Linked DNA regions of Schizosaccharomyces pombe. The protein of the gene in region 1 interacts with the protein of each later gene in a pairwise test. Each region holds a gene or a part of one and is shown on either strand. Other genes may lie near its edges.

Region 1 (4,423 bases):
CGAATTGGCATTTTTAGGCTGCTTGATGGGAGCAGCCGTTTCTTTTACAGAAGAATTCTTATTTTCCCGTTCTGCAGCTCGTCGTTTTTTATCGCGTTCAATTTCTGCGAGGATTTTCTTACGCTGCTCAGCATCTTCAGCCTTTTGTTGACGGATCTTTTGCAAGTCACGTAAGCGGGCTTGATCCTGCATCTTTCTCATAGCCTGTGCAGTTTCATCATTGGATTTTTGAAGGATTTTATAATTTGTCTTCTTCTCTTCCAGAGCCAAAATCCTTTCTTTTTCCTTTTTCTCCTTTGCTTTCTCTCTTAAAGCTTCAATAGCTTGTTTTAACTCTTCGGGAGAACGCTTCTTAATCTATGTTTTATAATCGTTGTTAATAAAAAGAAAGGATCGAGTGAAACAAATTATTGTTTTCGTGAATTATAATAATAAGGATGGTTAACAATTCGAACGCTTCAACCATTCAGCAAAAAGTAAAAGGAGTAAAATCTATACATACCTCTTCTTCAGTTTCCTCAAATTGATCATGACTGGTTTTGGTACTATGAAATTCAGCCATTTCGATGGAGGAAAGCAATTTATCGCATTCCAAACATTTCAAAACCATTTTTGTGTAGAGTTTGTAGTTGCAAAAGGCAAATTACAATGACGCTCAAAAATAGCCCTACGTTCCATCGACTCAACATCTAACGTGCTAATATCTACAATATCGTATTACCAAACATCGCAGTTGAGAGCATTATAAATTTGTTGGTCATTGAAATAGAAATGACAGGTCAAATGAAACAAAATAATTGTAGTTACCACCGATTACGCTATGAATTAGAAGAATAAATGATTGTATATATTGCACGACATCCGCAGACCGATGATTGAAAATGATTACTGACTTTCGTGATCCTGTAGTTGGCATCCACTCGAGTAATTCGTTTCCTTTATACATGGTATGCTTTCTAAAGCATCGCTGATATTCCTTGAAATAAAAATGTTGATTTTTCCCTAGCATAATGACCATTAACGAAAGTATACAATATCTATTTAATGATTGTCTAAACCAAAAAACGTATTTCCTTTGAATAGAAAGTGTAAACGAATGCGCAATTTTTTTTTGAAATCATAATGTTTACTTCATCCTTGCATTCTTAAGTTGTAATTAAGACAATTCAAACGCATTAACATGACATTTAGAAATTAAAAAGGATAACTTGAATCATCCTTTTTGGGTATTTATATCATTTATTAATTTCACAAACAATAAATCCATATACTTATTGGGATTTTATAACCATACTGCATTCGTACATTATTCACCTACTGCAAAATATTTTTTAGCATATATTACTTTTTACTTTCAAAATATCACATTTATTTTAATAATATCGTTATAAGGCTTTGTATAATATCGATGAAAACAGTTACTTGAATAATTATCTCCTTTTATTTCAGTATCCATATATTACCATAATCTTTGCTCAGCCTCGGAAAATCACACACAAGTATGTGTGACGTAAAGCCACGATTTTTGGCTACACTGCGAAATGGTACTTCGCAGAGTAAAGTAGTACCACCTCTCGCAACAAACTCGCCTTTCCCGTAAATCATGGCTCTTGAATGTGATAGTACAATTGTGTTTCCTCGACCACTTACACGACTAGTAAAATGTGATTTAGAACTTCGCAATACTGCACCTTATCCGATCGGATTCAAAGTGAAAACTACTGCTCCTAAACAGTACTGTGTGAGACCCAACGGTGGTCGAATTGAAGCCAATTCGGCTGTAAGTGTTGAAGGTAAGATAATTTATATTTAATTTTGAACCTCATTTGCATTTTTTGATTTTATTCGTTTAAGCGGTTCCCATCATTGATGTTGTCGGGTGGAACAAAAACGTTGTCATCAACGTGATTTTCTTTTGCAAACTAACAGTTTTTATTGTTTTTGTGCGTGCACTGGAAGATAATTTGTGCTCATTAGTTATTGCTGTAAATTTTCATTTACTAACTTCTTTTTTTTTAATAGTTATCCTACAGCCTCTAGATCACGAACCGGCTCCTGGCACAAAATGCCGCGATAAATTTTTGGTCCAGAGCACTGAATTGAAGCCAGAATTACAGGGAATGGATATAGCAGATATTGTATGTGATAAAAGATATACTTACATTTACTTTTTTAATACATGCCATACATAATTGATGTTCTAACCAATACTTTAATAGTGGACTCAAGTCAGCAAGGCTAATATATCGGAACGAAAAATTCGATGTGTTTATAGTGAAGGCCCCAGTACTGCAAATGCTCATGCTAATGCTCACCATCAACCAGCTCAAACAACGACTACATCTATTCCTACTTCTGCCACTGACAATTATACCACAGTAAATGGTAATGTTAATCAATCTTACTCTAAAGGAATAGACGGAACGGCACTTCCTTCGACCCATGCAAATCCCGTAGCTGCTCCATCTACAGCTACTACACAGCATACCCAGCTTCCTAAAACATCTGCAGTTTCTCACCAGAAGCCCCATGAAGCCCCATCTACTGCCGTAAAAGCTCCTACTGCAACAGTCGCTGAAAATGAACCTTACCCAAAGCCTCAGTCAGTGCCTACTACCACTTCTCCTAACAATGAAAATAATGCATTAAGATCTACCGCTAATGTAATTAATAACACAAGACAATCAACAGCTACGAGTCCATCTATGTTCGCTGGAAACAGTGGAAATCAAATAGGACTTGCACGCGTTTCATCGTCTTTTGGGCGTCCGACTAGTGGTGCCAAGGTTGTTCCTCAAATTCATAACACAGTTACTGTGCAAACCGCTTTCCTATTAGCCATTATATGTTTCCTTATAGGCCTTCTGTTCTAGTTTTTAAATATATTGATGCATACTGTGCCAACCCATTCCATTGTCATTCCCAATGTTCATACTATTAGTATGACGATGAAAATTGTTTTGTGGATTTGTTTGTTGAAAAGTATGACTTCTTTCATGTACAAGTGGCTCATTTTTTTGTAATTGCTTAAGGTAATTTAATGCCTCTTCCATTCTGTTTTGTGATGTTTTATTGTGCTCTTCCAACTCTTCCAAAGGTAGTAAAGGGACTACAGGCCGATCCTCAAGTTGTCTTAAAACAACAAGCCACGCGCCCGTTAATTCATAGTACGCTTGACTTTTATAAACATTATGGTTGGGATTATGGAATTCTGGCAGTTCGTGGACAACGTTTGTAGCGGCATCAAGAAAAGTAATATTTTTCTCAAAACAAGTAGAGTATGGAGGTAAATAACAAGGAACCATATCATTAAGCGCATGTAAGACAGCCATGTACTTTTCACGAATTCTATTAAATGCGTAATCACCCCTCTTGTCACCACCATAGGGAAATGAGTCATTCAAGTTAATTAAAAGTTTACGCAACGTTTCAACACAAGTATCCATGGACGGCGCCGGTAATATGCCCCGTATATCACGTGCGAGATCAGGATGCTTTTCTACACATTGTAATAAAATTGTAAAAAGCTGTTGTTTGTCTGAATATTGTAGCAGTCTCGACAATGGCAGTTGCTCACCCACAGGTAGTTGACGAGCACGCTTAGAAATGTCTTCGTCAAAATCAGCTTTGCGTTTCTTAATCTGAGAATAAGATAAGGTCTCCATGAATTAAGGAAATGAACAGTAACAACAAATAAAGATACCAACTTCAAACGTGAAATCGTCTGATTAATTATAACAAAGAAAATGAAAATTACAAAGAAATGGATATTCCAAAAGAAAGAGGAAAAAATTTCAAAAGTAGTAACAATAAAACAAAGATAGAGGATACTTTGTTAATGAGCTTCCTTTTTTAAAAGCCGGAAGGATGGCTATTGCTCAGTGTATCGACTTATGAAAGCTAGCAATTTAATTTTTTTCTCAGCCCAAATGAAATAAAACCGTCGATTATAATTTCTATATTACAAGAAGCTCTATTGCCCGCAATACCAGCTCAATTAGAACCTCGATTTCTTAAAAAAGATAATGGAAAATGGTAAGAACAATTTAGTGGCTCAAGAGTTTTCTTCTCATGAGACGTTACCAAACTATTACTTAATTCCTTAATTTGTTTACTGAAAAAATTACATTTTATTTAATATAATGTCACCGCAGCTGAGTGTCAAGCCTACAATAATATGTTAACGCAGTACAGAAAATCGTTAAGTTGGAAGAGCAAAATAATAATTTTTTTCGAAGTAATTGTGCGTATGGATCAATGTTATAGTCAATAACTATTTAACTAATTGTTGTTGGTAAACAGTAGTCAATTCTAACTTATTGGTGATGCTAAAAATGAAAACAAAGCTTCATTTCAACTGATCATAGGCAAGTAATAAAAGCAGGGGGTAGACTTTACGTTCTTGTGTCGACGATTTTATGAT
Region 2 (4,950 bases), 2.1 Mb from region 1:
GAATCAGCAGAAAGATATACTAATTTTTCTTTTTGGGATTCAAATTCCTCTAAATAAGACTTAGTAGTTGGGTTGTATCGTTTCCAATTATTTTGTTGCCCCTTTAGCACAAAATCTTGTCTGGTTTTCAAACGTCCACCAAAGTTGGTAGCAAAAAGTTCTACAGGATGTAAAGCTGTACGATTTGCAGAATGACATCTAGTAACCTGTTGACATAAAGAGTTGATTTCTTTATCGTTCATCAGATCATCAAATGCACAATCCAAAACAATTCGGATACTACTAGGAACGACCTTTCCTAGTCTGATCCTCTTCTTTTGACTTTTAACTACTTCGCCAGCTTCAATTTTTCGCTTTCTTTCCTCTTTTCGTAATCGCTTTTTTTCCCGGCGCATCTCTGCTCGCTTTTCACGACCTGCATCCCACTCTTGCTGTCTTTTTAATCTTTTTAATGCAGATTTGCTAAGAACGGGTTGCTCTTGAGTTTCATTTTTAGAAACGTCAGCTTCAGAAGTATTTGTGTCATCTTTACCAATATCTAAAGCGTCTTTGTTTTCCATAATTTCCCAACTTTATTGCAGTCAAAATATAGCCTAAATTTATCTAGTTATATCGTTATTTTGAACCTAGCCAGGCTGTTCATCTAATGGAAAAAGTAAGAGTGTTGTGAAGTATAAAAAGTTGGTAACTACGCCAATCTCGCAATTATTAACTTTGGGTAATAAAGGGATTCAGGAAGTCGAAAATAAAAAAATTTTGCAAAATTGTATTATTTACAAACTTCGACAAAACAAGCTTTGAAAAATGGCAACAAACGATCAAAAAATCGATAACAAATCGACGGTATCAAATATGCTTGAAAATCCTATGTTTCAGACATTTTCAAAAAAAGAAACAGAAAAGCCATCACTATCTGAATATATGGAACAACTTACTTCAGAGTTTGGAGAAGAGCTAGACAATTTAAGGCAAAAGGAAATTTTTGATCATAACAAACTACAATTGCTTATTGAAAGTTTGCGTGCTGGTCACAAAATTTATGAATAATGGTTTATATAACTTAGCAAAAAACAGACCTGTATTATTCTATTAAAAAAGATAAGCTTGCGGTGCTAATCTTGATCCAACTTATCGTCTTCGTTCAAAAAACCATCTTCGGATGCTGTATAAAACTCGTTATCAGAGATTTCGACAAAAGTAAATGTTTTTTCTATTTCCTCAAAACTTCTCGTATAGAAGTCAGAGGAAGAAACTTTGTTCGAATATGGGGATTCGCTAGGAGCATCTTCGGGTTGTTTATTCGATTCCGCGTTTTTCTGGGCTTCTTTTGCGTGCTTTTTTATTTCTTGGTTCATTTTCCTTAAATTTTTTTTATGTTTTTTGCTGTTTTCATGGTTCTCCAATTGATTTTGTGATCGAAAGTTCTTGTTACAAACCATACACATTATTGGATTTGAATTCACAATTTCTTTGCTCAAAGATTCATCATCGCTGGATGTTTCTTCCTGATCGATTATTGTCCAAGACGCAATTGATTGGTTTTTAAAAGTTTCCTGGTACTGACGCCGATCACGTTCACTTTGCTTTCGCGATGCTTCTTGTAGGGAGTTGTATCTTTCTCCATCGCTTAGTTTCACAACGTTTTTTCTCCGTGGATCAAGATCACATGCTTTTCCTATTAAATCTCTGACAAGTTCGTTATATCGCTGAATGCAGTATTGTATCTGCCTTTGATTTTGTCTCTTCATTAATCGCCGTGTAGCTGCATCACTTTCCTCTTCTTCATTATATAGAGCTTCCCATTCAAAAGATTTTTTCGTTGAAAATCTTAGCCATTTTTGATAAATAGGTTTGGCATACGTCCAAAGCCAAGTTGTGTCCCCTAAAGTTGGAAGGTCGTCTGTGGAACCCGCTATTTTTTCGTCTTGTCGCAGTCTTTCAACGAACGCTGAGGTGCTTTCAAAAGGGATTTTCTCAATTGTTTGTAGATGCTGCAAAACGTCTTCAATTTGTACAGAATATTGGTTTCTTAGATAGTCTTTTTCATGCCATTTTCGTTTATCATCATTAGAGAGAATATTGTATGCAGCGTTTATTTGGGAAAATATTTCGTTATAGTCTTCAATGCCCGGATTTCTATCGGGATGATATTGCAAAGCTAATTTTCTGTTATGATTAGTAAAGATACACAAAGGCGATCAATTCTTCACAACTTAAACGATTATGTTTTAATCACAGATCGAAAAGCTGTAAATTTATATTCTATGTTGATTGATTAAGTTGAAAACAAGTTTTCATACCGGTAATTTGCTTTAATCTCTTGCAAGTCAGAGTCATGATTCACTTGCAAGATTTCATAGCAATCCATATCCTTAAAAGGGTTATTCATGATTGGTGATAAATAATTTGCATAAAATCATAAGTTAACCAGTAAAAGACTTATATAAAGTAGCTTCAAAGACAAAATTCCAAGGCCGAGGAGTGGAATGAATTATCAACCGCAATTGAGATTGCTTGTGATAAACTAACAATTCAATTCTACAATTGAAATACAAAAAAAGCAAAAAAATTGAGAGTTGCCCGTTCAATCGCCAAAATACAATACCTTCAGTACGTTCTATGTAAAATGGTGATCTTTCTCACAAACCGGCGACAATAGCTCCCAACTGTGTTTCAAAAAATGTAGAAAGAGACAAAAAGGCGAATTGACGAGAAACAACGAATCAAAATACTGTTAATGCTAAAAAATAAAGTAATATGCTATGGGTAAATTAAATCTGTGTTGACAAACCCGCAAATACATAATATGGTGTGGTCCCTCACGTCTCGCCAATGCTGAAGTAAATAAATACAACAAGCGAAACATAAGTTAAAGTTGTGTACGAAATCATTTGAACCCTAAATAAATTTGTGTTCTATACATGCAAACTTTAGACAGTTTGAAATCCGAAAAATCACTTTTGTAAAAAATGAATATATGAATAAATATATATATTAACATATATTGATATATGTATAATCTTAATACAGTTTACAAACTACTGTCTTCTTAATTAAGAAAACATGGTTCTCATGAAAACTTATATTGTTATTTAAGGTCTTGCTGCTATATATGCATTAGCAAAATGCACATTTCCAAAAAATGAAGTTAAAATTATCAGTTTACAAAAGACATTGAACTAAAGATCAAATTTTTCCACAACCGAATTAAAATGTAAGATTGTGTTTTTTAGAAGAAGCCAATGCGCTAATAATAATGCCATGCTTGCATTGCTTAAAAACAAACGAACTTCTTGCCTTCATGTAGCAAGGCTATTATCACGAATTTTCATGTTAATTTCGCTATGAATGCTTGGTCTTTTCTGAGTTAATCAATACTATTTAGCTAAGGTTTCGCTCATATAGAATACGAAAATTTCGCATTTATTAATGCAAATTTCCTCGATGTTTTTAATATATTGTGTTGCTAATCTGACTATATAACACTGCCTCTTCAAGGGACAAATAGTTTTAACAAAATTTGTTTACATTATTGAGTCAAGCAATTACGACCCGATGTTATAAGCATTACGCAGATTTCTTTTACAAAAGGGAGGTCTCTTTCATTTACCCCAAGCTTAGCATTACAAAATCATGTGCAAATGAGAAGACTACTTTTAGGGAAAATAAAAATCTAAACTTGATTGGAAAGCGAAAGTTTAAATCCTAAATTGTTTGAGGTTGACGTGTTAGTTTTTCACCGTAATAAGTAAATAGCATTGTATAATGAATAAAAGAAAAATTTTGATAGTTTAACAATTGCTGCTATTCATATTTTAATAGAATCTCAAAATTCATACTAATCGACTTTCTTATCCTTCTATATTCTTCAATATTTCAAACTCGTTTTAAGTCTCTCCTATAGCTTGGGATTATTCAATGAAATTGTAATTGTCGTCCTTTCCTTTACATTGTGAATACTAAAAAATTGCTTCTTCCAGAATTGTTTTATTGACTCACGGATTTGCAACATGTCCTTCTCCTCTTTTTTTTTTTTTTTTCTTTTTTTTTCTAATCTGTAAAAAAACCAAAATTTTACAATCTCGATAATCCTTTTAATGTCTATAGTCATCAAACACGTTTATCTACTTACTCAATACGATAATGTACAATAATTCCATACGAAACTTGCCCTTATCTGTTTTAGTTTTTTGTGGCACACCGTTAACTAATCGTGAATAAAATGGTTATTACAGTCATAGTCCGGTTTAATCGGATCAATCAAATATAATTAGATACCTACTTATTATCATATACATACAAAATTAAAAACAATACAAAAAAGAGGAAAACAAAGAGGCTCAACTTCTTACCGACTATCCTTTATCTCTCTTTTTTTTTTATTTTTTTTTATTTTTTCTCTTTTGGCACAGTGCTACAGAACATTTGTTCAACAACCCAACTCTGTACGTTTCACACATTGTCAGCAAATTGTTGACAATCAGCACAAGCCTCATTCTATAAAGCTAAGGAAGATTTCGTACCACTGCTGGTCTTCCAATTGCCCCTGCTTCCTTTCCTTTTACTGTAAGGCTTACCGGAAGGCCGTTTACTAATAACATTGCGAACCCGAGTGCGGTTGGGTAGTATTACCTATACCGCAAGTTCCTCCGCTCTTTTTATGACGTCAGGGGGAAATGCTTTGGTTTGCCACCTTGCGTCGTCTAACGCGGTGCAATATAAGGATGCGAAAGGACTGCAAGGATTTTCACCTGTCATGAACCAACAAGGATTTTGACGATTAGTACAGTGTTAAAACTTTTGAAATAGTATCGAAAATTCATTTACTATATGTATAAGTATTAAGGAGTTACGCATCTCTTTACAATTTTAAACACTCACGTACCTTTGGTTGAATCAAGCCAGGCAGGTCTCCGTTTGCGAACGACGGTTTCGGTTGATTCGAAACGT

Evidence for each region. Proteins that work in one complex are often made in the same cells at the same time.
Region 2: the proteins of scs22 (region 1) and epr1 interact in a two-hybrid assay, tested with the Schizosaccharomyces pombe proteins (one study listed by BioGRID).

The regions. Positions count from the first base shown.
Region 1 is NC_003424.3:4,477,092-4,481,514, reverse strand, and holds scs22 (VAMP/synaptobrevin-associated protein family protein), read left to right. Parts: upstream 1-1,563; 5' UTR 1,564-1,603; coding exon 1,604-1,793; exon of another isoform or gene 1,794-1,965; intron 1,966-2,022; coding exon 2,023-2,138; intron 2,139-2,219; coding exon 2,220-2,873; 3' UTR 2,874-2,876; downstream 2,877-4,423. Other genes in the region: SPOM_SPAC17C9.11C (zf-C2H2 type zinc finger protein/UBA domain protein), read right to left, coding at 1-357, 503-610; nuclear proteasome tethering factor Cut8, read right to left, coding at 2,877-3,665. UniProt on the Schizosaccharomyces pombe protein: Vesicle-associated membrane protein-associated protein (VAP) implicated in maintaining the cortical endoplasmic reticulum (ER)-plasma membrane (PM) attachment.
Region 2 is NC_003424.3:2,423,630-2,428,579, reverse strand, and holds epr1 (ATPase co-chaperone protein), read right to left. Parts: upstream 2,765-4,950; 5' UTR 2,390-2,764; coding exon 2,301-2,389; intron 2,167-2,300; coding exon 1,113-2,166; 3' UTR 1,048-1,112; coding exon of another isoform or gene 805-1,047; 3' UTR 613-804; downstream 1-612. Other genes in the region: tRNA m(1)G methyltransferase Trm10, read right to left, coding at 1-560; ribosome assembly protein Rsa3, read left to right, coding at 805-1,047. UniProt on the Schizosaccharomyces pombe protein: Reticulophagy receptor required for autophagosomal sequestration of endoplasmic reticulum (ER) membranes during ER stress. Confers resistance to ER stress by promoting the autophagic degradation of the ER (ER-phagy or reticulophagy).